7 linked regions of the Daphnia pulex genome follow. The protein of the gene in region 1 purifies or fractionates together with the protein of each later gene. This does not show direct contact. Links are inferred from orthologs where the notes say so. Each region holds a gene or a part of one and is shown in the gene's direction. Other genes may lie near its edges.

Evidence for each region.
Region 2: the proteins of ruvB-like helicase 1 (region 1) and protein SHQ1 homolog purify together in Homo sapiens (affinity purification with mass spectrometry; 3 studies listed by BioGRID and IntAct, counting the BioPlex papers as one, with this or other methods). This does not show direct contact. The link is inferred for Daphnia pulex from reciprocal best matches to the Homo sapiens genes RUVBL1 and SHQ1.
Region 3: the proteins of ruvB-like helicase 1 (region 1) and 116 kDa U5 small nuclear ribonucleoprotein component-like purify together in Homo sapiens (affinity purification with mass spectrometry; 4 studies listed by BioGRID and IntAct, with this or other methods). This does not show direct contact. The link is inferred for Daphnia pulex from reciprocal best matches to the Homo sapiens genes RUVBL1 and EFTUD2.
Region 4: the proteins of ruvB-like helicase 1 (region 1) and MRG/MORF4L-binding protein-like purify together in Homo sapiens (co-immunoprecipitation; 6 studies listed by BioGRID and IntAct, counting the BioPlex papers as one, with this or other methods). This does not show direct contact. The link is inferred for Daphnia pulex from reciprocal best matches to the Homo sapiens genes RUVBL1 and MRGBP.
Region 5: the proteins of ruvB-like helicase 1 (region 1) and H/ACA ribonucleoprotein complex subunit 4-like purify together in Homo sapiens (affinity purification with mass spectrometry; 4 studies listed by BioGRID and IntAct, counting the BioPlex papers as one, with this or other methods). This does not show direct contact. The link is inferred for Daphnia pulex from reciprocal best matches to the Homo sapiens genes RUVBL1 and DKC1.
Region 6: the proteins of ruvB-like helicase 1 (region 1) and NOP protein chaperone 1-like purify together in Homo sapiens (affinity purification with mass spectrometry; 4 studies listed by BioGRID and IntAct, counting the BioPlex papers as one, with this or other methods). This does not show direct contact. The link is inferred for Daphnia pulex from reciprocal best matches to the Homo sapiens genes RUVBL1 and NOPCHAP1.
Region 7: the proteins of ruvB-like helicase 1 (region 1) and armadillo segment polarity protein-like purify together in Homo sapiens (affinity purification with mass spectrometry; 6 studies listed by BioGRID and IntAct, with this or other methods). This does not show direct contact. The link is inferred for Daphnia pulex from reciprocal best matches to the Homo sapiens genes RUVBL1 and CTNNB1.

What each region holds. Positions count from the first base shown.
Region 1 is NC_060023.1:12,188,576-12,192,697, reverse strand, and holds ruvB-like helicase 1, read left to right. Parts: upstream 1-1,444; 5' UTR 1,445-1,576; coding exon 1,577-1,717; intron 1,718-1,786; coding exon 1,787-1,915; intron 1,916-1,976; coding exon 1,977-2,151; intron 2,152-2,214; coding exon 2,215-2,586; intron 2,587-2,647; coding exon 2,648-2,751; intron 2,752-2,812; coding exon 2,813-3,102; intron 3,103-3,166; coding exon 3,167-3,326; 3' UTR 3,327-3,622; downstream 3,623-4,122. Other genes in the region: longitudinals lacking protein, isoforms A/B/D/L-like, read left to right, coding at 3,964-4,122. UniProt on the Homo sapiens protein: Possesses single-stranded DNA-stimulated ATPase and ATP-dependent DNA helicase (3' to 5') activity; hexamerization is thought to be critical for ATP hydrolysis and adjacent subunits in the ring-like structure contribute to the ATPase activity.
Region 2 is NC_060022.1:3,500,960-3,504,644, forward strand, and holds protein SHQ1 homolog, read left to right. Parts: upstream 1-1,480; 5' UTR 1,481-1,547; coding exon 1,548-2,417; intron 2,418-2,486; coding exon 2,487-2,771; intron 2,772-2,833; coding exon 2,834-3,088; 3' UTR 3,089-3,185; downstream 3,186-3,685. Other genes in the region: dipeptidase 1-like, read left to right, coding at 1-60, 133-202, 277-453, 511-671, 730-865, 939-1,037. UniProt on the Homo sapiens protein: Required for the quantitative accumulation of H/ACA ribonucleoproteins (RNPs), including telomerase, probably through the stabilization of DKC1, from the time of its synthesis until its association with NOP10, NHP2, and NAF1 at the nascent H/ACA RNA.
Region 3 is NC_060028.1:8,367,506-8,371,780, forward strand, and holds the start of 116 kDa U5 small nuclear ribonucleoprotein component-like, read left to right. Parts: upstream 1-1,475; 5' UTR 1,476-1,695; coding exon 1,696-2,016; intron 2,017-2,084; coding exon 2,085-2,409; intron 2,410-2,481; coding exon 2,482-2,606; intron 2,607-2,677; coding exon 2,678-2,925; intron 2,926-2,988; coding exon 2,989-3,151; intron 3,152-3,222; coding exon 3,223-3,358; intron 3,359-3,430; coding exon 3,431-4,108; intron 4,109-4,178; coding exon 4,179-4,275. UniProt on the Homo sapiens protein: Required for pre-mRNA splicing as component of the spliceosome, including pre-catalytic, catalytic and post-catalytic spliceosomal complexes. Component of the U5 snRNP and the U4/U6-U5 tri-snRNP complex, a building block of the spliceosome.
Region 4 is NC_060018.1:12,249,322-12,252,232, reverse strand, and holds MRG/MORF4L-binding protein-like, read left to right. Parts: upstream 1-1,438; 5' UTR 1,439-1,584; coding exon 1,585-1,705; intron 1,706-1,804; coding exon 1,805-1,926; intron 1,927-1,991; coding exon 1,992-2,252; 3' UTR 2,253-2,411; downstream 2,412-2,911. Other genes in the region: tRNA dimethylallyltransferase-like, read left to right, coding at 1-322.
Region 5 is NC_060025.1:6,908,890-6,912,901, reverse strand, and holds the start of H/ACA ribonucleoprotein complex subunit 4-like, read left to right. Parts: upstream 1-1,212; 5' UTR 1,213-1,288; coding exon 1,289-1,301; intron 1,302-1,497; coding exon 1,498-1,637; intron 1,638-1,907; coding exon 1,908-2,124; intron 2,125-2,180; coding exon 2,181-2,296; intron 2,297-2,490; coding exon 2,491-2,740; intron 2,741-2,800; coding exon 2,801-2,961; intron 2,962-3,025; coding exon 3,026-3,265; intron 3,266-3,331; coding exon 3,332-3,435; intron 3,436-3,495; coding exon 3,496-3,640; intron 3,641-3,699; coding exon 3,700-3,837; intron 3,838-3,903; coding exon of another isoform or gene 3,904-3,906; exon of another isoform or gene 3,907-4,009; coding exon 4,010-4,012. Other genes in the region: eukaryotic translation initiation factor 4E type 2-like, read right to left, coding at 1-68, 134-338, 405-457, 585-660, 725-753.
Region 6 is NC_060024.1:614,494-617,460, reverse strand, and holds NOP protein chaperone 1-like, read left to right. Parts: upstream 1-1,413; 5' UTR 1,414-1,693; coding exon 1,694-1,784; intron 1,785-1,861; coding exon 1,862-1,950; intron 1,951-2,034; coding exon 2,035-2,166; exon of another isoform or gene 2,167-2,234; coding exon 2,235-2,426; downstream 2,427-2,967. Other genes in the region: eukaryotic translation initiation factor 3 subunit D-like, read right to left, coding at 1-42, 98-142, 585-606; ankyrin repeat and SOCS box protein 13-like, read right to left, coding at 2,423-2,693, 2,759-2,810, 2,873-2,967. UniProt on the Homo sapiens protein: Client-loading PAQosome/R2TP complex cofactor that selects NOP58 to promote box C/D small nucleolar ribonucleoprotein (snoRNP) assembly. Acts as a bridge between NOP58 and the R2TP complex via RUVBL1:RUVBL2.
Region 7 is NC_060020.1:4,722,842-4,726,983, reverse strand, and holds the start of armadillo segment polarity protein-like, read left to right. Parts: upstream 1-1,342; 5' UTR 1,343-1,499; intron 1,500-1,686; 5' UTR 1,687-1,724; coding exon 1,725-1,758; intron 1,759-1,824; coding exon 1,825-1,964; intron 1,965-2,026; coding exon 2,027-2,147; intron 2,148-2,211; coding exon 2,212-2,399; intron 2,400-2,459; coding exon 2,460-2,618; intron 2,619-2,703; coding exon 2,704-2,858; intron 2,859-2,944; coding exon 2,945-3,246; intron 3,247-3,306; coding exon 3,307-3,455; intron 3,456-3,539; coding exon 3,540-3,749; intron 3,750-3,812; coding exon 3,813-3,945; intron 3,946-4,006; coding exon 4,007-4,128; intron 4,129-4,142. Other genes in the region: cysteine desulfurase, mitochondrial-like, read left to right, coding at 1-93, 206-269. UniProt on the Homo sapiens protein: Key downstream component of the canonical Wnt signaling pathway.

The sequences.
Region 1 (4,122 bases):
GTGAAGTGTCATATTGTCGTGGTTTCATATCCAACGGGTTTCAGTAGCTAGTACGAGCACTTGAAGGTACTGCTGTATGCCGTTAGCCTCTCTTGAGGCCCTTGACTCATCCTTTTTTGGTTCAAAGAGAAGTAAGTATAAGTAAGAAGAGATAAGTACAAAAGTGAAAGTGTTAACAAACTTGCAAGATATATGGGCTTGACTTTCTCCCACCGCCGTTTGCAATGAGGGATCATTCAGCCAGGTTTCCGCCAACTCATCCAATCATTCAAATTCCACAAAAGGCGTCAAAGATCATTCTCGTTCTTAATCGGAAGGCATTTTGAAGTACTAATTAATAAAGAATTATTGTTAAAAAAACCGATAAGAATGTGATGTATCATTTTAAAATAAAAATATACCTTGTAACGGGTTCTGTATGTCAAATCGAGCTCAGTATTTAATCCATTTCGAAACGAAAAGGTGTTTTGGTAGTAGTTTCATCTCCATTTTTGTTTTATATGACCTTCTGGAGCGAGGAGAGTTTAGTTAGCAAATAATCGCATGCGAATGCACCAGATAATGTTTTAATGAGAATCAGTTTGAGAAAATTGAGGGCACATTCACGTTCGAGTGCTCGCGCTCAGCAGTGAAACAGCGAGCTTTCTAATATTTACTGATAACGAGTTTGAAAACAACGGTTTCCATTATTCTTTCTCCAATGTGCCGAAAATACCAGACAACAAAATAACAACAGCCATGAAATATTCTGTTACTCTGTGTTTAAAAAGACGACAACATTCTAAAAAAGACTACAGCATCAATGCGTGTTATGTGTCAAGTCATCGAACTTGCAGCGTGTCTACTTTGCCGCACCTCTCCTTCGCCTATTCCTGCGTGTGTATGAAAAATGTGTAGGTCATACACGAAATAGATAAACGAAACTATTGTTGGATCTATTCTTTAATTAGTACTTTTAAGTGAAGGCACGTTTGAAGTCTATAATGGGGTTCGTATAGGCTAATTGTTTGTTTGTGTTTGAAATTGAGGAAATAACTGCAGACAAACTTCACGACTTTCGTCACACGCTTGTAACAATTTGACTACTGCGACGGATGTAAAAGATTTTAGCACTTCCCAGTGAAACATGAAATCGAAATGAATCAATGAATAGAAGAAAGAACAAGCTTGTTTGTTTACCAGACGACAGGTGTTTCAGTTTAATTTCGTTTAACGGCTTCGGCAACCACTCAAATCATCTTAGATCTCAGTGAGCAGCCAATCCCCATGGACCCCATCAACCCGATAGCCTGGTTGCCGAATCCTGGTGCTTGATAATTTAAAACTTACAGAATGATTTGCATGTAAATTTTCTTCCATGGTGCTTTTTCTTTTAAAAAAGGGTAAAAAACAAAAAACATTCTGCTTAAAAAAAAATCCTTTTACTACACAGTTGAGTCAAGGTCTACCAGGTGGCGTTTAATCTGGCGGGACTGCCGGTTGTTACCATAGAAACCCTGAAGCAACTTCGTCTCGTGTTCTTCTTAAGGCGTCCACATTTTTTCTGTAAATTTGCAAGTCTTTTATAAATAACAAAATGAAGATTGAAGAAGTTAGAAGCACGGTCAAAACTCAAAGAATTTCGGCTCACAGCCACGTGAAGGGTCTCGGTTTGGATGAATCCGGCAATGCCATAAACATCGCTGCCGGCCTTGTTGGCCAAACGCAAGCCAGAGAGGTAACACACAATTTTTTTCAGTTTTCTAAGAGAAATGTACTCAACAACTGTTTGCTCTACATTTCACAGGCAGCTGGTTTGGTGGTGGATTTGATCAGGTCTAAACGTATGGCTGGAAGGGCTGTGTTGTTTGCCGGGCCACCAGGAACTGGCAAAACTGCCCTCGCCATGGCAATTGCTCAAGATTTAGGCAACAAGGTCAGTCCTGCTTTAACTGTTTACAAGTTGAAGAAATTGAAAATTAAAATTTCATATACAGGTTCCTTTTTGTCCTATGGTGGGCTCAGAAGTCTTCAGCACTGAAATCAAGAAAACTGAAGTTTTAATGGAAAACTTTCGTAGAGCTATTGGCCTTCGTATCAAGGAAACGAAAGAAGTTTATGAAGGAGAAGTCATTGAACTTACCCCAGTTGAAACTGAGAATCCTATGGGAGGTAAAAGTTAACAACTCAGTTGATTTTTATGACAAATTTTACTACCAGTTATTTGTTTTACAGGATATGGCAAAACTGTCAGTCATGTAATCATTGGACTGAAGACGGCTAAAGGAACAAAGCAGCTCAAGTTGGATCCTTCCATCTACGAATCTCTCCAGAAGGAACGTGTTGAAATTGGTGACGTCATTTACATTGAAGCCAATAGCGGAGCGGTTAAACGTCAAGGCCGATCTGATACGTTTGCCACCGAGTTCGATCTCGAAGCCGAAGAATATGTCCCTCTTCCTAAAGGCGATGTTCACAAAAAGAAAGAAATTGTCCAGGACGTCACCCTACACGATTTGGACGTGGCTAATGCCCGCCCACAGGGAGGCCAAGACATTCTTTCCATGATGGGACAGCTAATGAAGCCGAAAAAAACCGAAATCACAGGTAATATTTTCATATACTTCAAAAATGCTTACCAAGATTTAAATTTACATTTTAATTGTAGACAAGCTGAGGAGAGAAATCAACAAGGTAGTCAACAAGTACATTGACCAGGGAATTGCAGAGCTTGTACCCGGCGTGTTATTCATCGACGAAGTTCACATGCTGGTAATAGACCAATAAAAATAAAGATATTCAAAGTTAGTGATTGATTTTAATTGAATTTCAGGACATGGAATGCTTTACCTATCTCCAAAAAGCGCTGGAATCGGCTATCGCCCCCATCGTTATCTTTGCCACTAATCGAGGCATGTGCACAGTCAGGGGTACCGATGATATTGTGGCTCCACATGGTATTCCTCTTGATCTACTCGACAGACTTCTCATTCTTCGGACGATGAAGTACACCGCCGAAGAGATGGTACAAATTATCCGCATTCGTGCCAAAACAGAAGGATTGAGCATTGAAGACGATGCCCTCCAAGCTCTTGGTGAACTTGGCAATCGAACTACTCTGAGGTAAGAACAAAAATTGTAAAGCAAAAAAATGATCTTATTAAACAATCAAATGTTCTTGGTTTAGGTATGCGGTTCAGCTACTTACACCCGGCGCCCTGACAGCTAAAGTTAACGGTCGCTCTTCCATCACCAATGAAGATATAAAAGAAGTCGGAGGTCTGTTTCTCGATGCCAAATCATCAGCCAAGATCCTGACGCAAGACAAAGACAAGTACATGAAATGAGGAATCGAGTCAAATTTGCTGGTCTGTGTGTTTCTTTCCATTTTTCTTAATAAAATTATCCTCCACGAATAACCAATTCAGTTCGTCACGCTACTCCGCTTCCATTTTTCTAAACACATTTCTCATGACCAACATATTTAGCTCTGTGTACCGCTTTTCTATTCGAAACTTGGTGTCGTTGGATAGCTGCTCTCTCAAAAGTTACGGACTTTTAACTTCTTTCATCTAAAAACGGGTGTACAAAATAAAAACAGGAAGCCGTTTTGAACGATTAAAATACATTAAAATGGATCGAGCTTTACTAAAAACATTGATTGAATTCTGAACAGGGGAAAAATTTCACCTCGGATATTTTGATTTGACAACGACGCCGCGCCAAATAGCAGACGAAAAATACTTGTTAGAGATGGCGTCTTTCAATCTTTGTGAATTTTTATACACAACACACCTGCTGGATTGTTAACTCACTGGATCATAAGCTGGTTCGAATTACTGGTCTCAGAATTTCGCCAACGCCATAAATTGGTCTTCTCATAGGGGTGAATTGTTGTTGTTATCTCACGAAGGCTTTGGTGAAAAATACCAAGGGTCTGGTTGTGCATTTCCGAATTAAAACAGGTGGACGTGTGTGCCTGCGATGATGGGCCAGCACGACATTCAAGAGTTTTGTCTCAAATGGAACAATCATCACAGTACTCTGGTATCCGTCCTCGACTCTTTGCTCGTGAGAGAAAGTCTGGTAGATGTAGTCCTGGCTGCTGAAGGTCAATCCATAAAAGTACACAGATTAGTTCTT
Region 2 (3,685 bases), on another chromosome or scaffold:
CACTTTCTATCGACTCGGAGTTCGTTACATGACTCTCACCCATTCGTGTCCGACTCCATGGTATACACATCTAATTCTTTAACTGTCATTTATTTGATCAATTATAATTTTTTTTTTAAATTATTCTTTAAGGGCTGACAATTCACAGCTGGATAACCCGGGTCAGGAACCTATTCACGACGGGCTTACCGGTTTTGGAGAAGTATATTCCTTATTTTTTAAATTGCTGTTATTCTTGATTTTTAGACAAGTTTTTGTCCGTTTAAATTTATTAAGGCAATAGTCCAAGAGATGAATCGTCTGGGCATGATGGTGGACATTTCTCATGTGTCGGTCTCGACAATGGAAGACGTATTGAACGTGTCAAAGGCGCCCGTGATTTTCAGTCACTCGGGGGCATTTTCTGTTTGCAACAATACTCGAAACGTGCCCGATCATATCCTTCGTCGATTGGTTAGTCCTACCATCAATTTTCTTTAGTCATAATTCATATAGCTTTCTGTGCTACAGGCGAAAAATGACGGAATTATCATGGTGGTATTTTACAACGAATTTATCGCCTGCGGTCAGTCGGCAAGCCTCAACGATGTGGTGCGCCACATCGAACACATTCGTAATGTTATCGGGGCAGATTACATCGGACTCGGTGGTGACTTTAACGGAGTTGACAGGTAAATTATTTATTAACAATACAAATGAGCAGGGAAAATAAGCGGTTAATATTTGAAGGGTTCCCACTGACTTGGATGATGTTTCAAAGTATCCCAACCTCTTCGCGGAATTGTTACGTCGCGGTTGGAGCGAAACAGATTTAGAAAAATTGGCTGGTAGAAATATGCTGCGCGTGATGCGTCGTGTTGAGCAGGTACAGTACTTTGTTATTTATATCACGCCACGCCTTCTTTTCAAATTAATTGTTATCAAAATGCTGATATAAGGTTAAAATGGAACTCTCATCCATGGAGCCGATTGAAGAATGGATTCCGGCCGAAGACCTCCGACCTGAGCACAAGCAATGTCTCACCGAGTACAGTTAATTTCTCATCGTTAGATTTCTTCACGGTTGATTCATCAGCAGGTTCTAAGAATTTGAACCGCGCAATTTAAATTTGTATTCTCCTCCACGCGCGCCATAGCAATCGTTTAAAATTACCCTCGCTTGATTCCGTACCAAATTCTATTATGATTGTCAATCGAAAAGAGAAACTTGCGTTTGCTTCACGCTCAGTCATCACGTCAGTTTGAATTGAATTGCTAGACTGAATTATTTGATTTCAAAGAAGATAGTATCAGGTTTGTGCAAAAATGTCTAGACTGCCAAATAAATAGCGCTTTATACATTGATAATTTCTTTTTACTGCATTAACATTTATGTAGTTAAAATTTCACGGTTAAATGTCTCTAGCGTAAATGTCGAGATATTTCTTTTTTCAAAAATCTTTTCGCGGTTTCCTAGTGTTCGTTCAATAGGTTCTCGGTAGATGAGGTTAAAGTCGCTTATTTACATGTGCTCTTTTCTTCAGTCGTCTTCTCTTGAAAATTGAAAAATGATTACACCACGTTTCAAGCTCAGCCAAGATGAAAATTGCCTATTTGTCACGATTCACGCACCCTTTTCCAAGGTATCAGACGCAGAAATTTACATGGATGGTACTGATTTTCGCTTTCATTCAAATCCCTATTACATTCGCCTTAACTTGCCGGGAGAAATAATTGAAAACGACGAGGCTAAAGCTAATTTTGATGCTGAAACAAATGAATTCAAAATCACGTGTCCAAAAGTAATAAAAGGAACACATTTCCAAGGACTGGATATGCTTACGAGTCTTCTGGCACCCAAAGGAAAAAGAAGTGTCGACAGCAAGGGAATTGAAGTGCTTGAAGAAACCTGCTCAGAAGAGGACTCGGAATCAGATTTTGATTGGTTCTTGGAGCAAAAAATTGAAGAAGAATCATCAGATTTACCAGCTAATGTTTCGAAATATGGTTTTGGCTTGAAACATTCCGGACTCTTTGCTACATTGGCTGAGGAACTGCATCAGGTTGTGGATGTCAAAAATCCTGACAACCAGTCAGCCTCAGAAAGAAGAATAGAAAGATTGGAACAAGAGAAGAGAGAATTTAATGCAGAACACTACTTGGCTGATTTTTTCCAGACTGACATGATCGATCCTCTAATTGAATACCTACCTTCAAGCAGGATTGGGGAGGAGTGGACAGAGGCAGAAACTATCCTCTTAAAAACCCTCACCAACAAAGAATACCTCCTGGATCATGATCAACTACAGTCCACATATTTGGGTTTGGTTGATATTTTGCTGGCATATTGCTACGATATGAGAACCACCATGTCCGACCCCAACGTCGAATCAGCATGGACCATAGCAAAAATTAGTGGAACTTTATCTTGGCTTGAGGTATTTTTCTTTTTCTTTGTTTATTCTCTTTCGAAATTACGCTTAATCGACTATTTGATAAAAATTTAGATTTTCACTTCGATTCGCCAAGTTGTAGATTGCTTTCTTCGTAGAAGTCTGTGTTTTCCCTTATTTCGAAACTTCAAATTGTCCATTAAAGCCATTGAAGACGCCTCAAATATTCTTAAAGAAGGGCGGACGTCAGTCTTGAGGTGTTTCTTACAAATTCATCAGCTGTTCAACAAAAGTGATCCTCGATACCTTCTTAATCAACTGTACATTCGAGACTATTGTATCTGGATACAAAAGTGTAATGACGAGACACTCGCCTCGCTAAGCCAAAGTTTAAAATCGGTAATGATTGTAATTTATGGAATACCAAATTTGTCCTGCTAATTAAATTGTCATAATTTTAGATGGAATTTACCAAAGAAGATGTTACGTTAAACCTTGTTGATCTTGAGCGGGCCGCAGTTAACCTGATGTGCTATAGTGACGACTCGTCAGAAGAATCGGACCTCGAAGAACAAATGGCCCATCTGTCACTCAAAAAGAAATCCGCTTCGAGCGCAATGCCGATTGATCTTCAGGTTGCAGCGGAAGCCGCTCGAATGAGCTCGGAATCTGATTTGGATTCTGATGATGATTCTTCATCCGAAGAAAGTGACTGATTAAAGATTCCCTTCCAATTTCTTGACTTGATGAAAAGTGTATGCACAGATAATGGAACTTCACCATAAGAGGAATACAGTTGAAACTTTTGGTATACTCCTTTTTATCATTCGAATAAAAATGTTGGCACAAGGAAGAGGAACAACATCGATCCTCCGAGTTTAAAAGGCTATTCCTTGAGCCTTAGATTTCTTTTTTCTTTATTTTTATTAAAAGCTAGACAGAACTTCTAAGAGTGTTATCGCTGCGGGCCTGGTAGAGGAATGGAAGCCGGAACTAAGACTAGCCAGTAAAATGCTTTCACATTTATGTCAGCGCCGCCTTTTTATAAAGCCCATATCAGAATTATAGTCTTTACTCTTTAGTGTCTGTAGAAATTGATAGTAAATGTTTTTTTTTTTCGTTTTTCCTGTTCTTATTTCTTAATAACAAACGAAAATGAGGACGCGTACATATTAAACACGGACATTGGATTATTTACATTTAAATTGGCTATAGATAACACTTAGCAAGATTAAATAAAACAACCTGCATAAGTTTGAACGAGAACGACTAAACAATTGTAAAAAGCAAAGTTTTTGCGTCTTTTTTATTTA
Region 3 (4,275 bases), on another chromosome or scaffold:
GTTGTTGTTGTTGTTTGTTCCATCACCAATCGGCCAATGTCTAAACGTTTTCTTTTTGTCTTTTTTTCGCGTCTAGCCAAAATGAATCCCGACCGATGTCTGAGTTGCCGAATTTTATAATTGGGGTGGAGATTGTTGGCTCGACCAATGTCGAGGTCTAATAACATTCCGTCATCACCACGAGACTTGATTAACAATCAATCATTTCGTAAGTCTAATGTGTCCAGGAGTCCAGTGAACTACAATCGCTTCATCCATGTCGAAGGGTATTGTGTAGTAATGAATGCCGTCCAATAATCATTGCGATCCATTAAGCCTTGACTCCCGACAGACTACACCGCCGTGGCAATGCACACCGGACAGTATAGTGACCCCCCCGCAGACACAAAAAAGATGATGGATAGAAATTTAAAAAGAGAAAAACAAAACAAACCAAAAAAAAAAAAAATCTCAGTCAGAGTCTGTCGGGCTATTGATTGGACACCCCCACGGAAAATTCACGCACGAGGAATAAGGAGGAGGAAGTCGATTGCTGCTGTTGGCCAAGTCTAAATGTGTGCAGCGACATTCAACCGGGTACATTCTATCCGCCTACACAATGGATGACATTGCTGCAAACAACAAAAACAGAACAAGCAACTCGAAGCATCGCCGATAACGGTGATTATATCCCGAATAAAAAAAAAAAAAAGAACCATCAACCGAGAACCCATGGACAGAAGGAGAACTCTAGTTGGGCTGGGCTGGGCTGGTCTACATCACCGAATGGCCGGCATTGATTTTGTCGATCTGCCCATATCATCCCAAGTATTTTTTGGGTTTTTTTTTTGTGATTTCCTTTTGGCAACAACAAACCAACAAGCGAATATATAAATCGGGGTCGCTCGTCTGTAGACTCGTCTGCAGATAAAGACGTCTAATATATCTTTCCATACGAGTCGGCAGCAATAAATCATATAAGGGCACTTGCCCATCCAGGGGGCTTCCATCGCCCGGCAAAACTGAAATTCTGCACTGTGTGCGTAGACATCAGACGACTGCTGAGATTTATTCCGTTATTCAATTCAAAAACATGACGGCATTTTACTCCTTATTTCGCCCGCTTTGATTGATATTATCGCCCGTGTTCGACTGACTTTGTTTCTCCTACAAAATGTTTTTTTCCGTCGTGGACCCGACCTGATAGCGACTGACACGTCATCTATATAAATTCACAACTAGATTTCAGTTTCCAGTGCACAAGCAAAAAAACAGCGCCAGAAACATTTCCTTATTCGGGTAGGGAAAACCCCGCCCTCAACGGGATTCCCATTTGCATTTTATTACGCTGTGAATTTTTTTTTTCTCTTTTATTTTATTTTTATTTATTTATTTTTATTTTTATTTATTTTATTCATTTTATTTTATTTTCATTTTTTTTGCCACTCATAATCCACCTGCTAGCTGGTAGATGGCGCTGTTCTTAAATTCAGATTTCATTGGCACCCGCTAGATGTCGCTAGTGTCGCTCGTTTTGAGCGCGTGCAAATCTGTACGCATAGTAAACGCATTTTCTTGAAAGGCCCGGCTTTTCTGAAATTCCCTTTTGAAACAGCTTTATAACTGTGAGTGTTGGGTTAAGCCGAATACCGATCGACAACATCCAAAGTATCTGCCCAATTTACAGACAGCAAACGACTCAGTTGACTGTCAAGAATGGACGCCGATCTCTACGACGAATTCGGCAATTACATTGGACCCGAACTCGAGTCAGATGAAGACGAAAATGAGGAAGGAGACGAGGCTGATCACGATGACGAAGCCGAAGACTATGGTGACAATGATTCCGAAGAGGCCATGGATCAAACGGTGGTTGATGGCGACGCACAGATGGCCATTGTTTTGCATGAAGACAAAAAATACTATCCATCAGCGTTGGAGGTTTACGGACCTGGTGTGGAGACACTGGTGCAGGAAGAAGATGCTCAGCCCTTGACTGAACCCATCATCGCACCTGTCAAACGAAGGAAGTTTCAGGTACCACAAATTGTTTCGCTGCCATATTTCATTTTGTTGATTAACCTGTTTCCACCCATTTTCATTAGGTTGCTGAGCAAGAACTCCCTGAAACCACGTATAACATGGAGTTTTTGGCTGATCTCATGGACTCTGCAGAACTTATTCGTTCAGTGGCCCTTGTTGGTCATTTGCACCATGGCAAGACTTCCTTCATGGATTGTCTGCTCATGCAAACACACCCAGATCTCCAGACGGGAAAACCTGGCAGTGGAGAGGAGAAGCCTGTCAGATACACAGACACACTCTTTACTGAACAAGAGAGAGGTGTTTCCATCAAAGCGACGCCCATTACCGTGGTCATGCCCGACCTGAACGAAAAATCCTTCCTCCTCAACATGTTCGACACACCTGGTAAATTACAGTTTTCCAACTTGCAAAATGGGGGGGAAAAATGTATTTAATCGATTTTGATGTTTCTTAAAGGTCACGTCAACTTCTCAGATGAAGTCACGGCTGCCCTGAGACTTTGCGATGGTATCGTCCTCTTTGTCGACGCTGTCGAGGGTGTCATGCTCAACACGGAACGAATCTTGAAGCACGCCGTCCAGGTAATTAAAAAAAAAAAAAAACTTCAACTTGGTTATTCCAAGAATTTCTTTTTAACCCTGTCCTTTCATAGGAGAAAATGGCCATCACAGTTTGCATCAACAAAATCGATCGACTCATTTTGGAGCTCAAGCTGCCACCTCAGGACGCATATTACAAGTTGCGCTACATCATTGAAGAGATCAACGGTCTTTTGGGCCTGTACAGCGACGAAGAGAATCCAAAATTCGTGTCGCCCTTGTTGGGCAACGTCTGCTTTGCTTCTGCCCAGTTCTCCGTTTGCTTCACCCTTAAATCCTTCGCCAAACTTTACAGTGACACGTACGCACACGTCCACAATGGCAATGACGGTCTTAAATGAAACTTCATTTTCTTTCATTTTAGATACGGATCCGATATCAACGACAACGAGTTAGCACGTCGTCTGTGGGGTGACATTTACTTCAACAGCAAGACGAGAAAGTTCACCAAAAAGCCGCCACATAGCTCGGCTCAGCGAAGTTTCATCGAGTTCATTTTAGAGCCGTTGTACAAAATCTTTGCCCAGGCATGTACCAAGGACAACTTTGCAGTTAATTTGAACAGTTGATTCATTTCCAATATTTTTTGCTTGTTTAGGTTGTGGGAGATTTGGATTCGAGTCTACCGCAGTTGCTGGACGAACTTGGCATTCGCCTGACTGTCGAGGAACAGCGGTTAAACACTCGCCCCTTGTTGAGACTGGTCTGCAGTCGCTACCTGGGCACTTTCAGCGGTATGTCAATTAAAATGTATGTTGAATTGAAGCAACGGTCTTTAAATGTCAATGTTTGACTGGTGTGTGTAGGTTTCGTGGAAATGTGCGTCAAACACGTCCCGTCGCCCGTAACGGCTGCTCGCACCAAAGTGGAACACATTTACACAGGTCCCCTGGAGTCCATCCTGGGCGAAGACATGGTCAACTGTGATCCCAACGGCCAACTGGTTGTCCATACTACCAAACAGTATCCCACAGAGGACTGCACTGGATTCTATGTCCTGGGTCGTGTCCTGAGTGGGACCCTTCACGCTCACCAGAACGTCCGACTCCTGGGTGAAAACTATTCGCTCAATGACGAAGAAGATTCACGTGTGTTGACGATCGGTCGACTTTGGATATACGAGGCCCGTTACAAGATCGAAGTCAATAGAGTAACGGCAGGCAGTTGGGTCTTGATCGAAGGGATCGATGCCTCAGTGGTCAAGACGTCGACCATCGTCCAGGTTCACGTCGACGAGGACTTGTACATTTGCCGACCCTTGAAATTCAACACGCAATCCATCATCAAAATTGCCGTTGAGCCGGTGAATCCCAGCGAATTGCCCAAGATGTTGGACGGTCTGCGTAAGGTTAACAAATCTTACCCGTTGCTCTCGACGCGAGTGGAGGAGTCGGGCGAGCACGTTATTCTTGGAACAGGCGAACTTTACCTGGACTGTGTCATGCACGATCTCAGGAAAATGTACTCGGAAATCGACATTAAAGGTTTGCCATTCATTTCTTCCCAACTGTTAATTCTTCTAATTTAACTAATTCACTTTGGTTTTTCTTGTAGTTGCTGATCCTGTGGTGTCTTTTTGCGAAACGGTCGTGGAAACGTCCTCACTGAAATGTTTTGCCGAAACTCCAAACAAAAAGAATAAAATCACAAT
Region 4 (2,911 bases), on another chromosome or scaffold:
GACGCGGGAAGAGCAAACGTCCTTTCACTGCCCGCTCTGCGAAAAGGTGACGGTCGGCCAGCGCCAGTGGCAAGAACACCTCGGCAGTAACCGACACCGCAAACTGGTCAAACGGGCGGCGACCAACGGAGACGGCCTCGACCAGCAGTCCAAACCTAGACGACGCCAACCAAGGAGCGCCAAGACGGACCGAGCTGACGAAGACGAAACAAACGCGGGCGGATCGCAGGAGGCGGCTTTGACATCCGCTCAGGCTGCCCAGGAGGAACAGCAGCAGCAGCCACAACTACCATCACTACAAATAGATCAGCAGACCTCTTAAACAACCAACGTTAGCGCGCCCAGCCTGCCCGGCAGACTTTGAAAAACAACACAAAAAATTCCCGTCTCTTTCCCTCTAGATCTTTTCTTCTCTTTCCGGAAAAGTCCTTAAATGATCCGGCGTCGTTTAATGATCCGCTTCCCTTTCATTCTTTTTTCTCTTCTCCAGGGCAGCCCGGCGTGTTGTGTGATATTTCTCCCGTTTGCCGGCCAATGTTTCGCACAATAAAACCAAAATTTGTAGAAGGAAAAAGCTGAAACTGAATGATAGTCAATTTGTCTGTGTGTGTGTTTTGTAAATTCTTTGGCTGAGCTGGGAAATGTTTGGGGGCTAAACGGCAATACACAAAAGTTTAGTACTAGACAATGAAGAGAGATGGAAGCGATTTCTATGGGTTTTTTATTTTGCTTTCTTTTCACCGTTGAAATAAACGCTGGCTGGTTTTCTACGCCTCAATGGAGTCGGCCGGCCTGCACGGCAGTTATATCATGTAATAACAGTTGTTTGGAGAGGAAAAAAATTGACCAATAGCTCTTTTTGTGTTCACCAGCATTTATTCCGTGTGGGAGGAGGAAATGGCTGTTTTGTGTCGGGACTCTTTTCCGCTTATTTTATTTTGATTTTACAGGGCGGATATTTCGTTTGCATTTACACACACACCAACGCCAAAAAACTCTCCTCCGTATTATTTTATTTCTTTTCCTTCCCATTTTCTGCTTACGCTTCGTGATCGTGATGATTCAACTGGTTGTGACCTTGGGAAATGGACACGGGAAATGGGAAAAGTATTTCGTCGGAATGTTTCGCCCAGGACATTCTAAGAACCGTGCCTGATTTATCATTCGACAATCTTGGTGTTGTTCAGATAACGATTAACTAACGTCGCTGGATTAAATAAAACAGGATGTTTGTTTTGTTTTGTTTTCTCTCCATTTTGGCTGACTGAATTAATTTCTGTCGGGTCAATTATGAAACATTTATACAACAACAGTTTTTTTAATTAAATTGTGAAAAAGAAAAAAAACAAAAACAAACTGACTAGCAGTTGAATAGTTGAATCACAGATGGCGTGTCTGCTAGCATAGCAGACGCACCTAATCCTACCAAAACCAAATCACAGATGGCGTTGCGGAGTGTGTGTGTGTAGTATTTTCACTTGTCAGAAGGGAGCCGGTTGTTATTTTCGTTTTCCTCAACCACTAGTCGAACGTCGGAGAAATCTCCATTCAATATCAACGTACTCAGTTAAAATCGATTGAAATATGGCCGTTAAAGAAAAAACTGAAGGAAACGAAGAGACTTTGGAGGCTGCAGAAGTGGAATGGGGTACCGTCGATAACGAATTGCAGCTGTTACAAATTCTGTGTGGCACCAGACCCATAGGTAATAAGATAAACGTTTGAAAATGACGACGATTTTCTACACTTGTTTCACAGCAGGTTTAATTTGTGTTAAATATTTAAAACATTTTCTTTTTTACAGGAATTAGTAAATACTTTCAAATGGCCTGCATCGTAGAAAAACTGGCAATGAATCTGAACAAAGAAGTCACTTCCAAAGGTGTTTGGGATCACCTGGCGAGCTTGTACGATCTCAAGAAACTGGTTTGTTCACTGTCATTAATATTCACTGTATTGTTTTGTATTAAAGTGTTTGTTTCTTTCTCTAGGATGAGCACGAGACGATTCCTTTCCCCAACGAAGAAATGGACTTTGTCCTTTCCACTGAGGAGTATGGCGAATTGATGGATAGCAAATTCAAGGATGCTGAATCCAAGAAAGTGATAAAGAAGGAAAAGGAAGAAGTTAAGAAGGAAAAAGTTCCTGAAACACCCCAGCCAATTGAAAAGAAAGCTGTGAAAAGAACAAGAGCCAGCACTGCCCCAAGCCCTGGAACACCGCAAATCACTCCAAAACGTCGACGAATTTGAAAACAAGAAGATGAATGACTTTTTTTTTTTTTACCATGTCAACTTTTTCGGCACTCGTACATTATTGATTGCGAAACCGTTTAATGAAATTTTGTAACTCGGGTATTGTGTTAAAAAAAAAATTTCGGCCGGACTAAAAAATGACCGCCCACTTCAAAATCATGCGTTTGAATTTTTATTCGTTAGAAAAACCTTTCCATCTTCAGTTTAATTACCTCACTTATTTTAGAGAGTTAAAAAAAAGTTGTCGATACGATTTCCTGTTTCTCAAGTGTATGAAAATTATAATAATTAAAAATGAATTCGACGTGACCACATTTCGAAAGAGTTGTTGGAAGAGGCATCGGAAGGAAGAGAATGCACCGGTTTTGTAGTGCGTTTCATTGCCACTTGAAAGCGCCCCAGTGCAGCACTGCGAGCAACTGTTTGTTCTGTTCTTCGGTTTTTTACAGAGCCCTCGCCGACGATGTGCTGGGATTTGCAACGTGTATTTTCATTCGTATAAAAAATTGATTGAAGAATTTATCTAAGTCGGGTAAGAACAACATTGATCAATAGTAGGTTTCTCTATCGATTCCAAAACGAAGCCAAAGTTGAGATAATTTAAGGATGAATCACCATTACATTTTCGGCCATGTGATGTCGCCCTATGAGTGTGT
Region 5 (4,012 bases), on another chromosome or scaffold:
CAACAACGTGAGGCTAAACCTTTTCGAAGACGCACAATCCATTTACCACCACAACGATTGGCATCATCCTGTTGGGAAAAAAAAGTAGGTTAATAAACACTTCACCACCCTTATTATTATTTAATAATACAACCTCCCACATTGGTTTGATTCCATCTTTAAATAAATGAAAGTCACTGTGACCAGAGAGTTCACAAGGCCTGACCAGATGGCAATAGTATGACCAAAACTGTTCTACAGAAGCAAAACGTCCAACCATTCTTAGATTCTGATCAAAGCTTTGGGGTGCTGCATGTTTTCCAGGAGCTCTCCGACTAAACCACAAACAGTATGTGTATCTAAAAACAAATGGTATTTCTATAATTAACATGTACTAATAAAAGTAATATCATTTTCATGTGTACTGGAGTGGATGTTCTTCTCGAGGAACTTGAATGGGTTGCTGAAAAAAATTAACCTTTAAATTAGTAGGAAAAAATGGGTAAGTGAGCACATAAATTCGTCTATCGCAATTATCACATCATTAACATAGAGTTAATAGATATTACAATAATTTTTTGTGTATTATGCAGTTAATATCTCACCAAAATTAAATCCTTTTTCTTTCTTTCTTCACTGAATGAAGTTTCGTCGTCATCACTGTCTTCGCTGTTGTTCAACCTGTCGAAAAGCAACAAAGTAAACGCAAATTCTATTAAAACATGTATAAAATTTGAAAACTTACGCATCAAATTTATTGTTATTAAGGGCCATTTGTAAATAGTTTACGAAATCGGAGTGTTACAGTCAAATTGTTCACTTAATTTATACACCAATTTGCAGCATGTAGTAGAAAGACTAAAGAAAGAAACAAGCAGTATGTCCAGAAATGTTGTACAAATTTTAGATGGTGAAAACACTAAACAGTACCCACACTATAGAGTAGCGAAAAATTGCCACCAGTTGCCACCAGGTGACCTTCAAGAGGTTTTGGCGCCACACACTAGAGTACCCTTCCCAAAGCCAAAGCGCCACGGCCCACGGGAGAAAGATGTTATAGTTATTGTAACTTCTAATGTAATGGTAATAAAGAGATAATTTGAACCATTGAATTTTAAAATCAAGTAAAATATTGGAAATACATGTCATAGCAGAAAAAGTGACTTCGTGATTAATTTTTTTCCAAAAATAAGAATCAAAAATCAAATGGCAACGCTCAACACTTCCGCTCATTGGTTTCTTTTTTTGTAGCAGAGGTTTTTCAACACATTAGATCAAAGACAGGACTTCGAACCACGTGTGAAGCACGATGCATTCATCTGGTAAGCGCCATCACATAATATAAATTTTACAAGCTAGTTATAGGGATCGATTATGTGTTTTCACATGGAAAAGATGCATTGTAGTTTGCTGCACAAATAGTATGATTCGAAATTTACATTAATTTGGTTAATTCTGTGATCTACGGATTAATGTTGGTAACACGTGTCGGTTAATGTTAGCATTCCTGTGTTTCAGAAGTCCTAGGAGAGAAACAAAGTGGAAAGAAGTCAAGAAAGTCCTTGGGAGATATTCAAGGAGATTCAGACTTTGTGTTGGAGCCATCAGAAAAACCAGTAGCAAAATTGGACTGTTCACAATGGCCGCTGTTACTAAAGGTATGTTGTTAAATATTAAATTAAATGTAGATGTTCTCAAAATAATTTATTTTAGTATCTATCTATACAAGCATTATGCTAAGAATGCTAATGATTAATTTATCGAAAGTAGTGGACTGAAAAGACTGAAGACACTCAAAGATAATGAAGCATTTAAAACTAAATTCTTAAAATTTTTCTAGTTTGAAACTTGATCTTTATAGATATTAATTTTTCCCTTGTTATTTATTAAGAAATGTGAACATTTTCTAAATCATCTTTTTTTTTCAGAATTTTGACAAGTTAAACACAAGGACAAATCATTATACACCTCTTCCAAGTGGTTGTTCACCATTGAAGAGGCCAATTAAAGATTATATTCATGGCGGTTTTATTAATCTTGACAAGCCATCTAACCCAAGCTCTCACGAAGTAGTTGCCTGGATTAAGAGGATTCTAAGATGTGAAAAGACGGGTCATTCAGGAACATTGGACCCTAAAGTTACAGGTATGTTGATAGCACTCAGAAAATCCCATGGACTTTACTAATTGAATATTATACAGGGTGTTTGATTGTTTGCATTGATCGTGCTACAAGGCTGGTCAAATCTCAGCAGGGAGCTGGCAAAGAGTATGTTGCCATATTTAAGCTTCATTCTGCAGTTGAAGATAACAATCAGGTAGTTTCTTGACCCTTCTAGTTGAAAGCCTTATGCTAAAGATGCTAATGATTAATTTATCGAAAGTAGTGGACTGAAATGACTGAAGATAATTAAAGATAATGAAGCATTTAACTGAATTCTGTTAATTTTTTAAGTTAGAAACTTGATCTTTATAAATACTAATTTTGTATATATTTTTTTTATTTATTAAGATTCCTCGAGCTCTTGAGAAGTTGACTGGAGCTTTGTTTCAGCGTCCACCACTGATCTCGGCTGTTAAGCGACAACTTCGTGTGCGAACCATTTACGAGAGTAAATTTTACGAGTACGATGCCGAGAGACAAATGGGTATCTATTGGGTTAGCTGTGAAGCCGGAACTTACGTTCGTACCCACTGTGTCCATCTCGGTTTGGTGCTAGGCGTAGGAGCTCAGATGGCGGAACTCAGAAGAGTTCGTTCTGGTAAGCCAGGAAGTTTCTTTTTGTGTGTGTTCTTAAGATGAAGATTTTATTTTTTATAAGGTATCCAAAGTGAAAAAGAAGGGTTAATGACTATGCACGATGTAATCGATGCGCAGTGGTTACATGATAATCATAAGGACGAAACATATCTGCGGCGGGTTATTCGTCCATTAGAGGCATTGATGATGTCTCACAAGCGAATAATCATGAAAGACAGTGCTGTAAGTGTGTTAATATTTATCTATAATATTCTTTATAATAATGTGTTAAAAAAATATATAACAGGTTAATGCCGTTTGCTATGGAGCTAAAATCATGTTGCCTGGTGTATTGCGGTACGAAAATGGTATCGAACTAAATGAAGAGATTGTTATAGTAACAACCAAAGGAGAAGCAGTGGCTCTCGCCATTGCTTTGATGACGACAACAACCATGGCTTCATGTGACCATGGTATTGTTGCCAAAATTAAACGTGTTGTCATGGAGCGTGACACTTATCCCAGGAAATGGGGACTTGGACCTAAAGTAAAAATTGATATAGTTTACATTGGCGTTACTTGTATGTATATGTATGTATTTGTTTAATTTTAGGCTTCCGTCAAGAAGGGTATGGTGAAACAGGGACTCTTGGATAAGTTTGGCAAACCTAATGACAAGACACCTAAAGATTGGTTGACATCTTATGTAGACCTAAAGTATGTAATTCAACGCAGTATTTGTATCAAATTTTTCAATAATATTATATTTTTCTGTAGCGTTAAAAAAGAAAAGGTTGAACCAACTGAAGATGCTGAGGCACGAAAAAGAAAGTTAAGTGAAACGAGCGCCGTTGCTGATCCGTTGTCAGAATCCATGACGGAAACCAAGGAGAAGAAGAAGAAGAAAAAGGACAAAGACCGGGTAAGTGTTTATACTCTTGTGAAATAATGATGTCTTAATCATTTATGGATGATTTTCAGGAGCCGCAGGGTAATGAAAGCATTCTTGATGCCACCGTAGAATCGGTTCCTGAAACCAAAGAGAAGAAAAAGAAGAAGAAAGATAAAACAGCTGAAAATGAAGACCTTTCAATTGCAGTGGACACATCAACAATCAAGGTAAATTAAACTTGTCAATTAATTTTTTTTTTAAACAAAGGTGTCGTGATTATTTAATGAAAGTAGTGAACGGAATATTTCTGACGAAAATTACCTAAATGAAAACATACTGCAAATATTATTCGCCGAGTAATTTGGTATGCATTAGTAATGTGAACATATTTCTATTTAGGAG
Region 6 (2,967 bases), on another chromosome or scaffold:
TGACAGCGTCATGTTCGCAACGTGCCACCAGGACACCACCTCCTGAAAACTTAGTATTAGACTATTTATTTCAAATTCAAAGTTTTAACCTACAAACCTTCATCAAAGTCAGTACACAAGGAATGTTCTCTGTGTTTAGTCTCTTGGTATCATAAGGATCATCTGAGAGCTCCAGTTCATGTTGACATCCGTCCATGGTTGCTTTTTTAATAGATGGAATTTGTGTTGCATAAAGGGCCGATTTCTCAGCCAATGACACTGCATCATAAGGGTTCCCTCCACATTGATTCATGATCTTTTTTAATACCATTAAAATGTTTCATGAGAAATTGTTGATTGGTGGAAATATCACATCAGCTATATCAATATGTCAACATACATGACCCAACATTGCTGTCGTGTCAATAAAGAAAGTTGACATAAATTAATTAAGTATCACCTGAAGCATAGGATCTTTGTAGGAATTTGCAAATTTCATTTTCCAGATGTTGATGAGTTTGCAAGTCTCAGCCTTGCCGATCCACTGGCATTGGAAACTAATGTAGTTTCAAGAATTATAGGGTGATAATCCAGCATTGTTCTACCATCACATCGTAAATCATCCATTGATATATCCAAAGTTGAATTTCGTTAAGTAAGGACAATTTTATTTCAATAAGAGACCAACAGAATTTAATTATTTATACCTGGACTCCATGATGAATGAATGCTTTACGGTATATAAAAAACCGTACGGCTATTGTACCAGCTTTACGTAGTAGGGAAAATAATTTACAATCAAAGGATTATACTACCTACATTATTTAAAATTTGACTACATTTTGCTTTAAACTTGCCTTGATTCAGTTGATTTGATTGATTAGCAGCCAGCCTTGTTTTGTTTTTGTTTTGTTTTTGAATCCAATCCAAGGCCGCGTTGAAGTTCGACGGCCTTGAATTATGGATTGGCGTCAGAACCACCTGTCGGGAGAAAAACTAACTAAAAATAAGCGATTATTTTTTACATTTAAATCACAACGACCCCATTATCTCAATCAAAGCGGGATCACGACGTTGCAATGTAAAAGCATCCCCTCTACAAGACGGTCGCAATTTGAATACCGTGACGAAAACCCCCGCAAATCGCATAAAAGAACAATGGAACCCCCCAAACGAAAATCGTTTCCCTATCTCTCCGAGAGGAACAGCGCCACCTCCCAGAGAGAAATCGAGTAAAAAACCCCGAAAACAGCTATCGAGCCGTAGAAGAAAGAGACGTCGTCGCACAGTCGGAGTAGGAGGTGGGTAGAGTGGGGTCGGGTGGGGTGGGGTGGTGGGTGGGAGGAGACAGGGTCGTTTGCCGATAAATCCCTATCGGGAAACTACACACACTACGAATAAAATTAAAATTAAAATCTCAGTCATCTCCTTCTATTCGAAACTATTTTTTATCGTGCAAACCGATTGTATAAACAAATGGTTCAGCGGGTTCAGCAAATTACTAACATAATTCTTCATTAGTTTTTAGTAGGCCTAGGCCTATCATTTTTTTTCGTAGATATCGATGGTTTACAATAATCGATAATTAATTGTGTTTACGCCTTACAAAATTTGGACACGTGCTAGGCGGATTTCATTGGATTTTTCCACAAAATTAATTGATTATTGACAAAAGCCACTCGTCTTCGAAGGTTCTGATTCTAACTACGGAAAAATGACATCTGATTTAGGTTCACAAGATGGTCTTTTAAAGTCCACTCGGCATTCCACAGCACTGCTCGATGTAGAAGGTTCGAAAGTTAAAAGTACGTTTTCCCAAGTTAATTAGTTTTTATGTTAGGTAAACATATGTATTAAAATTTACTTCTTTATCTGTTTGCAGCAAAAGAAAATCTTGTTTTCTCTCTTCTACAAGAAAAAAAGCGTTCTAATGGAACTTTTAAAATCCAGCCATCTCTGTCTTTGCAGAGGGTAAACATAGAAACAGATTTTAGATCAGAATTAATTTAATAAGACCAAGAGTTTCCTTAAGCTTGAGAAAATTGTGTACTTTAGGTTAAAGAATTTCTACCTCAAATAATGAAAGCAAATGTCAAAGTTCAAGAAGAAATTTTGAGTGATCCGAATAAAAAAACCATCTATGATATACAAAATATAGATGGGGCGAGTGGACCAGTAATAGAAATGGTTTGTATTCACATAAATTAATGCTGAATCTATACAAAAGGTTAAACTCTTAATTGCTTTCCCAATAGGATGTAGCCCTCTATGAAGACACAGACTCAGACTGTTCAGTCCCCTCAACAAATTTAGGCACAGAAACAAATCATGGCCCCATTGATGAAAACAATATCAAATTTCCAGGATCTAGTGTTAAATCAAATTTAGTTGAAGTTATAGAGAAGGATTATGTAGAGCAGAAAAGTGAAATTGTTCTTGATGTCTAACAACTGAAAATAAATTGTATAATCTTCTTCGGAAGTCCTAATTGTTTAATGACCATTGAATTTTTCCCTACAACAAAAGACTGAAGAATTGCTAACCGACAGCAATCACTAAGAGTTCTGGGATTGATTTCATAATCATGCAATAGCCTTTTAACAGCTGAATTGGGTTTAGCCAACTCTTTAGGACGTTTTCCCAAGTTGTCTCTCATGTATACATCAGCACCATAATTCAGCAGCAACTGCACCACCGAAAACAGGTTACGATATCTGCCTTGGCACAAAAATTACGTTAATTTTGTTTTAGTCATAGATACGAACCTTAATGAACTTACGCAGCAATATGAAGAGGAGCCTTATGTACTATTGTGGCATTGACATCAGCACCTAACAGAAAAGCAAGATTTTCTAGAAACAAACAATTAATTGCTCATTAATGGTTAAATCACCTGCTTGTATCAATGACAAAATACAGTCTAAATTAATTTTGTAAGCAACACATGCTGCATGAAGAGGTGTTCCATAGTGTCGATCTGCAGCATTC
Region 7 (4,142 bases), on another chromosome or scaffold:
TCGATTTGGAATTGGGCGATTCACCACCGAAGCTGAGGTTGATTACACCGCACAAAAGTGTATTCATCAAGTCACCAAACTTCGGGAAATGAGGTAAATACCGAATTCGAAGAAGTCGAACCGTAACCCGGGTCTGGAATTCCCCGACAAATAACTTCCTTCATTTCTGCTAAAAATGTTAATTATGTTTTTTCTCCACTTTTAGTCCTCTTTGGGAAATGGTCCAAGAAGGGATTGATTTGAAAAGTATCAAATGGACGCAGCACTAATCTTTCCATTCAAAAACAAAACTGAAAATGTTGCTGTATAAATTCAGCCTTGTAAAGAAAATGATTTGGAAATATACACTGAAAATAGTGTTGACCAATAACCTTTAATATCTTTTAAGACGATTGTTGCAGAAAATGGTATCGTAAAGTTACAAGTTACTTTGGACTCTTTAACAGTAAAATGAGCCGGGAAATTTATTAGCTATCGGTACCATTGCGGTGCAATAATAAGTCAATATAAAGTATCGAAGGACTAGATCTAGAATAGATTAAAAAAAAAAAAAAACGGCACATCCTGCAGAGAAATTTGACAGCCTTAATATGTCCGTTTTTTGTTCAATAAACGAGTTGATATTTTTGACAATGCCAAACGACTAAGTTTCCGTCGAAGCTCTTTGGGTTAAAAAAGTTTGAAGTCGTTCCTAGCACACAAAAAAGCAGGTGTGCATGGTAACGAAGACTTTTGATTCCTTTCACACTCTTTGTATGTGATTTATGGGGCACTTTTACTTGACATTATACTTGAAGTCATTACATGAATTTCATTTAAAGTTTGGAAAAGGTGAAGAAGTTAATGTAATCTTAAGCGAGCAAGCGAACTTTTGTTTTTTTCATTGCTGCATATCGGGAAAAAAGTACAAAAACCGAAATTTCATATTGCGGCGATTTATTCTTTAGCCAATCGACAGCAATCCACGGCTCCCTACCCCTGAAATGCCAACCTATTTATTACATAGCTGTATCTAGGTAATTAAAAAAGGAAGAGGTTAAAAACCTGCTTGAGAAGCAATGCACTTTTTTTTATCATTTGTTCAATGGTATTTGTGAGTCATTCCGAACTTGAAACTTTTTTTTATTCCCCTCCCACTCTTTCCGTCTGGACAAACGGGCAGGGGAAACTAGCTATGTATTCCTACGCTAGAAATTTTAAAAAATATTCTAAAATATTATTGGACTTTCCCACAAATATTTGTTTTATTATTTTTTTTTGTTTTGGAATAAAACACATTAAATACGTAATTTCAAGCTATATTTAAATGTTTTTGGTTTTATTGGTTTACCATAGAAAAACAGAAAACGCCAAAAAAATAGTTCCGTTTCAAGCTGATGGCCGCCATCTTTAAGGGCTTTTTAGACGCGTCAGTACTTCAGAACGAAGCAGGTCCTTGTTTTCTGATTGTGGCAGGTGTGGCTCTGTTAATCTCTTGTCACCAAATCGAAATTCCAAAGGTATGTGACCTTAAATTGTTTAAAATTACACTTAAAATGTTTTTCGAAAGCAAACAACAATTTTCTCGACTTTTGAATGGCTTTTTACTGTGTCGAAATCTCAAGTGACAGTCAAACACGCAGTTTACTTCATCATAGTTGCGACACTTTGTTAGCCCTGGTTCTTACCCTCGTTTCTTTATTTAAGGTTATCTCGTCGCAAAGTCGTCGATACACAGCCGCATCATGAGTTATCAGATGCAGGCACAAGGGAGGCCAAGTATGAGCTTTTTTAAATTAAAATTTTTCATTAAATCTATTATAACTCTTTAATTTGTATGTATAGTGTCACATGGGCAATATGTTAGCAATAGCCCTGCTGATCTTCCTATGCCCAGCGTTAAGGAACATACATTGATGTGGCAAGGAGTTGGGCAACCTGGATATGTAGGAGATTCAGGAATCCAAAGTGGGGCAACCACTCAGGTAAATATTGAGTGAATTGTGCGAGTGAAGGTAACCTTTCGAACTAAATGTTTACTTCTTAGGCCCCATCACTCTCTGGAAGAGGTGGTGATGATGATATGGATACTTCTGAAGGAGGAGTCATGCTTAACATGGGTGGATCAAGTGGCTATTCAGCTGGTTATACTCAAGACCAAGTTGAAGGTAAACAATAAAATATTTTTGATTCTTATTGCGGTATATGTTTTAATCAAATACTTTGTTACAGACATGAATGCTCAGTTAAACCAGACTCGCTCCCAGCGTATTCGTGCTGCCATGTTTCCAGAGACACTGGATGAAGGAATGGAAATTCCATCTACTCAGTTTGATACCACACAGCCAACTGCTGTTCAGCGTTTAGCCGAACCGTCGCAAATGTTGAAACATGCCGTTGTTAATTTGATCAACTATCAGGTATTATTGCTGAAATTCAAAATTTTGAACTGCTTAAAGTAATAATATTTGGGTTGGTAGGATGATGCTGATCTAGCTACAAGAGCTATTCCCGAACTGATCAAGTTGTTGAACGATGAAGATCAAGTTGTCGTATCTCATGCTGCCATGATGGTTCACCAGTTGTCCAAGAAGGAAGCGTCCCGCCATGCTATCATGAATAGCCCACAGGCAACCAAAGTTTCTATGATTTTATTATTACTCTGTGTTACACTTCTTTTAAAATTATTTTCCAAGTTCATAATGCATATCCGTTTGATCGTAGATGATTGCGGCTCTCGTTCGAGCACTGTCCAATAGCAATGACCTGGAAACAACCAAAGGTGCCGTTGGTACCCTGCACAACCTATCACATCACCGCCAAGGATTGTTGGCTATTTTTAAATCTGGGGGAATTCCAGCTTTGGTGAAGCTGTTGAGGTATTGTCCCGTCTCATCCTTCATGTGTCCGAACTGACGGCTTTCTTCAAACGTTACTTATTTTTATTTTTTGTCATCTCGAAAAGCTCGCCCGTGGAATCCGTTCTTTTTTATGCTATCACGACGCTGCACAACTTGCTGCTCCATCAAGAAGGCTCAAAAATGGCCGTTCGTTTGGCGGGTGGTTTACAGAAGATGGTTGCTCTCCTTCAGCGCAACAATGTCAAATTCTTGGCAATCGTTACTGATTGTCTTCAAATTCTGGCGTATGGCAATCAAGAATCCAAGTTGATCATTTTAGCTTCACAGGGGCCGATGGAACTTGTTCGAATTCTTCGGTCATATACTTACGAAAAGCTGCTGTGGACCACTTCACGAGTTTTGAAAGGTAATTTATAAAAACCGTAATGTTTAATGTACGTGATTTATTTATAAATTTTTTTCCCAGTGCTGTCGGTCTGTTCTAGCAACAAACCAGCTATTGTTGAAGCTGGAGGTATGCAAGCGTTGGCAATGCACTTGGGCCACCAAAGTCATCGCCTAGTTCAGAACTGTTTATGGACCTGCCGCAATCTTTCCGATGCTGCGACCAAGCAGGTGATTATCTTCTAAAAGAAAAATTATTTTATGTTCTGCTCCTATCTTAAGGACAATGCTTATACCTTTATTTTTCTCTTACAGCAAGAAGGTTTAGAAACCCTGCTTCAAGGACTTGTTCAGTTGTTAGGTTCTAGTGATGTTAACGTAATCACTTGCGCTGCCGGAATTCTCTCTAACTTGACTTGCAACAACCAACGCAACAAGACTGTTGTGTGTCAAGTCGGTGGTATCGAAGCGCTGGTTCGCACCATTATTCATGCTGGCGATCGTGAAGAAATCACCGAACCTGCCGTAATATATCCATCTTTTTAAAATGACAAACGTGTTGGTTCTTACAAAATCCATTAATTACAGATATGTGCTCTGCGTCACATGACATCACGTCACGCTGAAGCTGAAATGGCTCAAAATGCTGTTCGTCTTAGTGGTGGACTGCCCGTCATTGTCCGTTTATTGCAACCCCCCTCTCGTTGGCCACTCATCAAGGGTATGTATCATTATAGCAAGTTTGTCTTTTAAAATGTCTCATAATTACCATTTTTGTTTAGCTCTGATCGGGTTGGTTCGTAATCTGGCTTTATGCCCTGCTAACCACGCTCCGCTGCGAGAACAAGGAGTTATTACTCGTTTGGTGCAGCTGTTGATCCGTGCTTTCCAAGACATCCAACGAGTACGTTTGTTTTA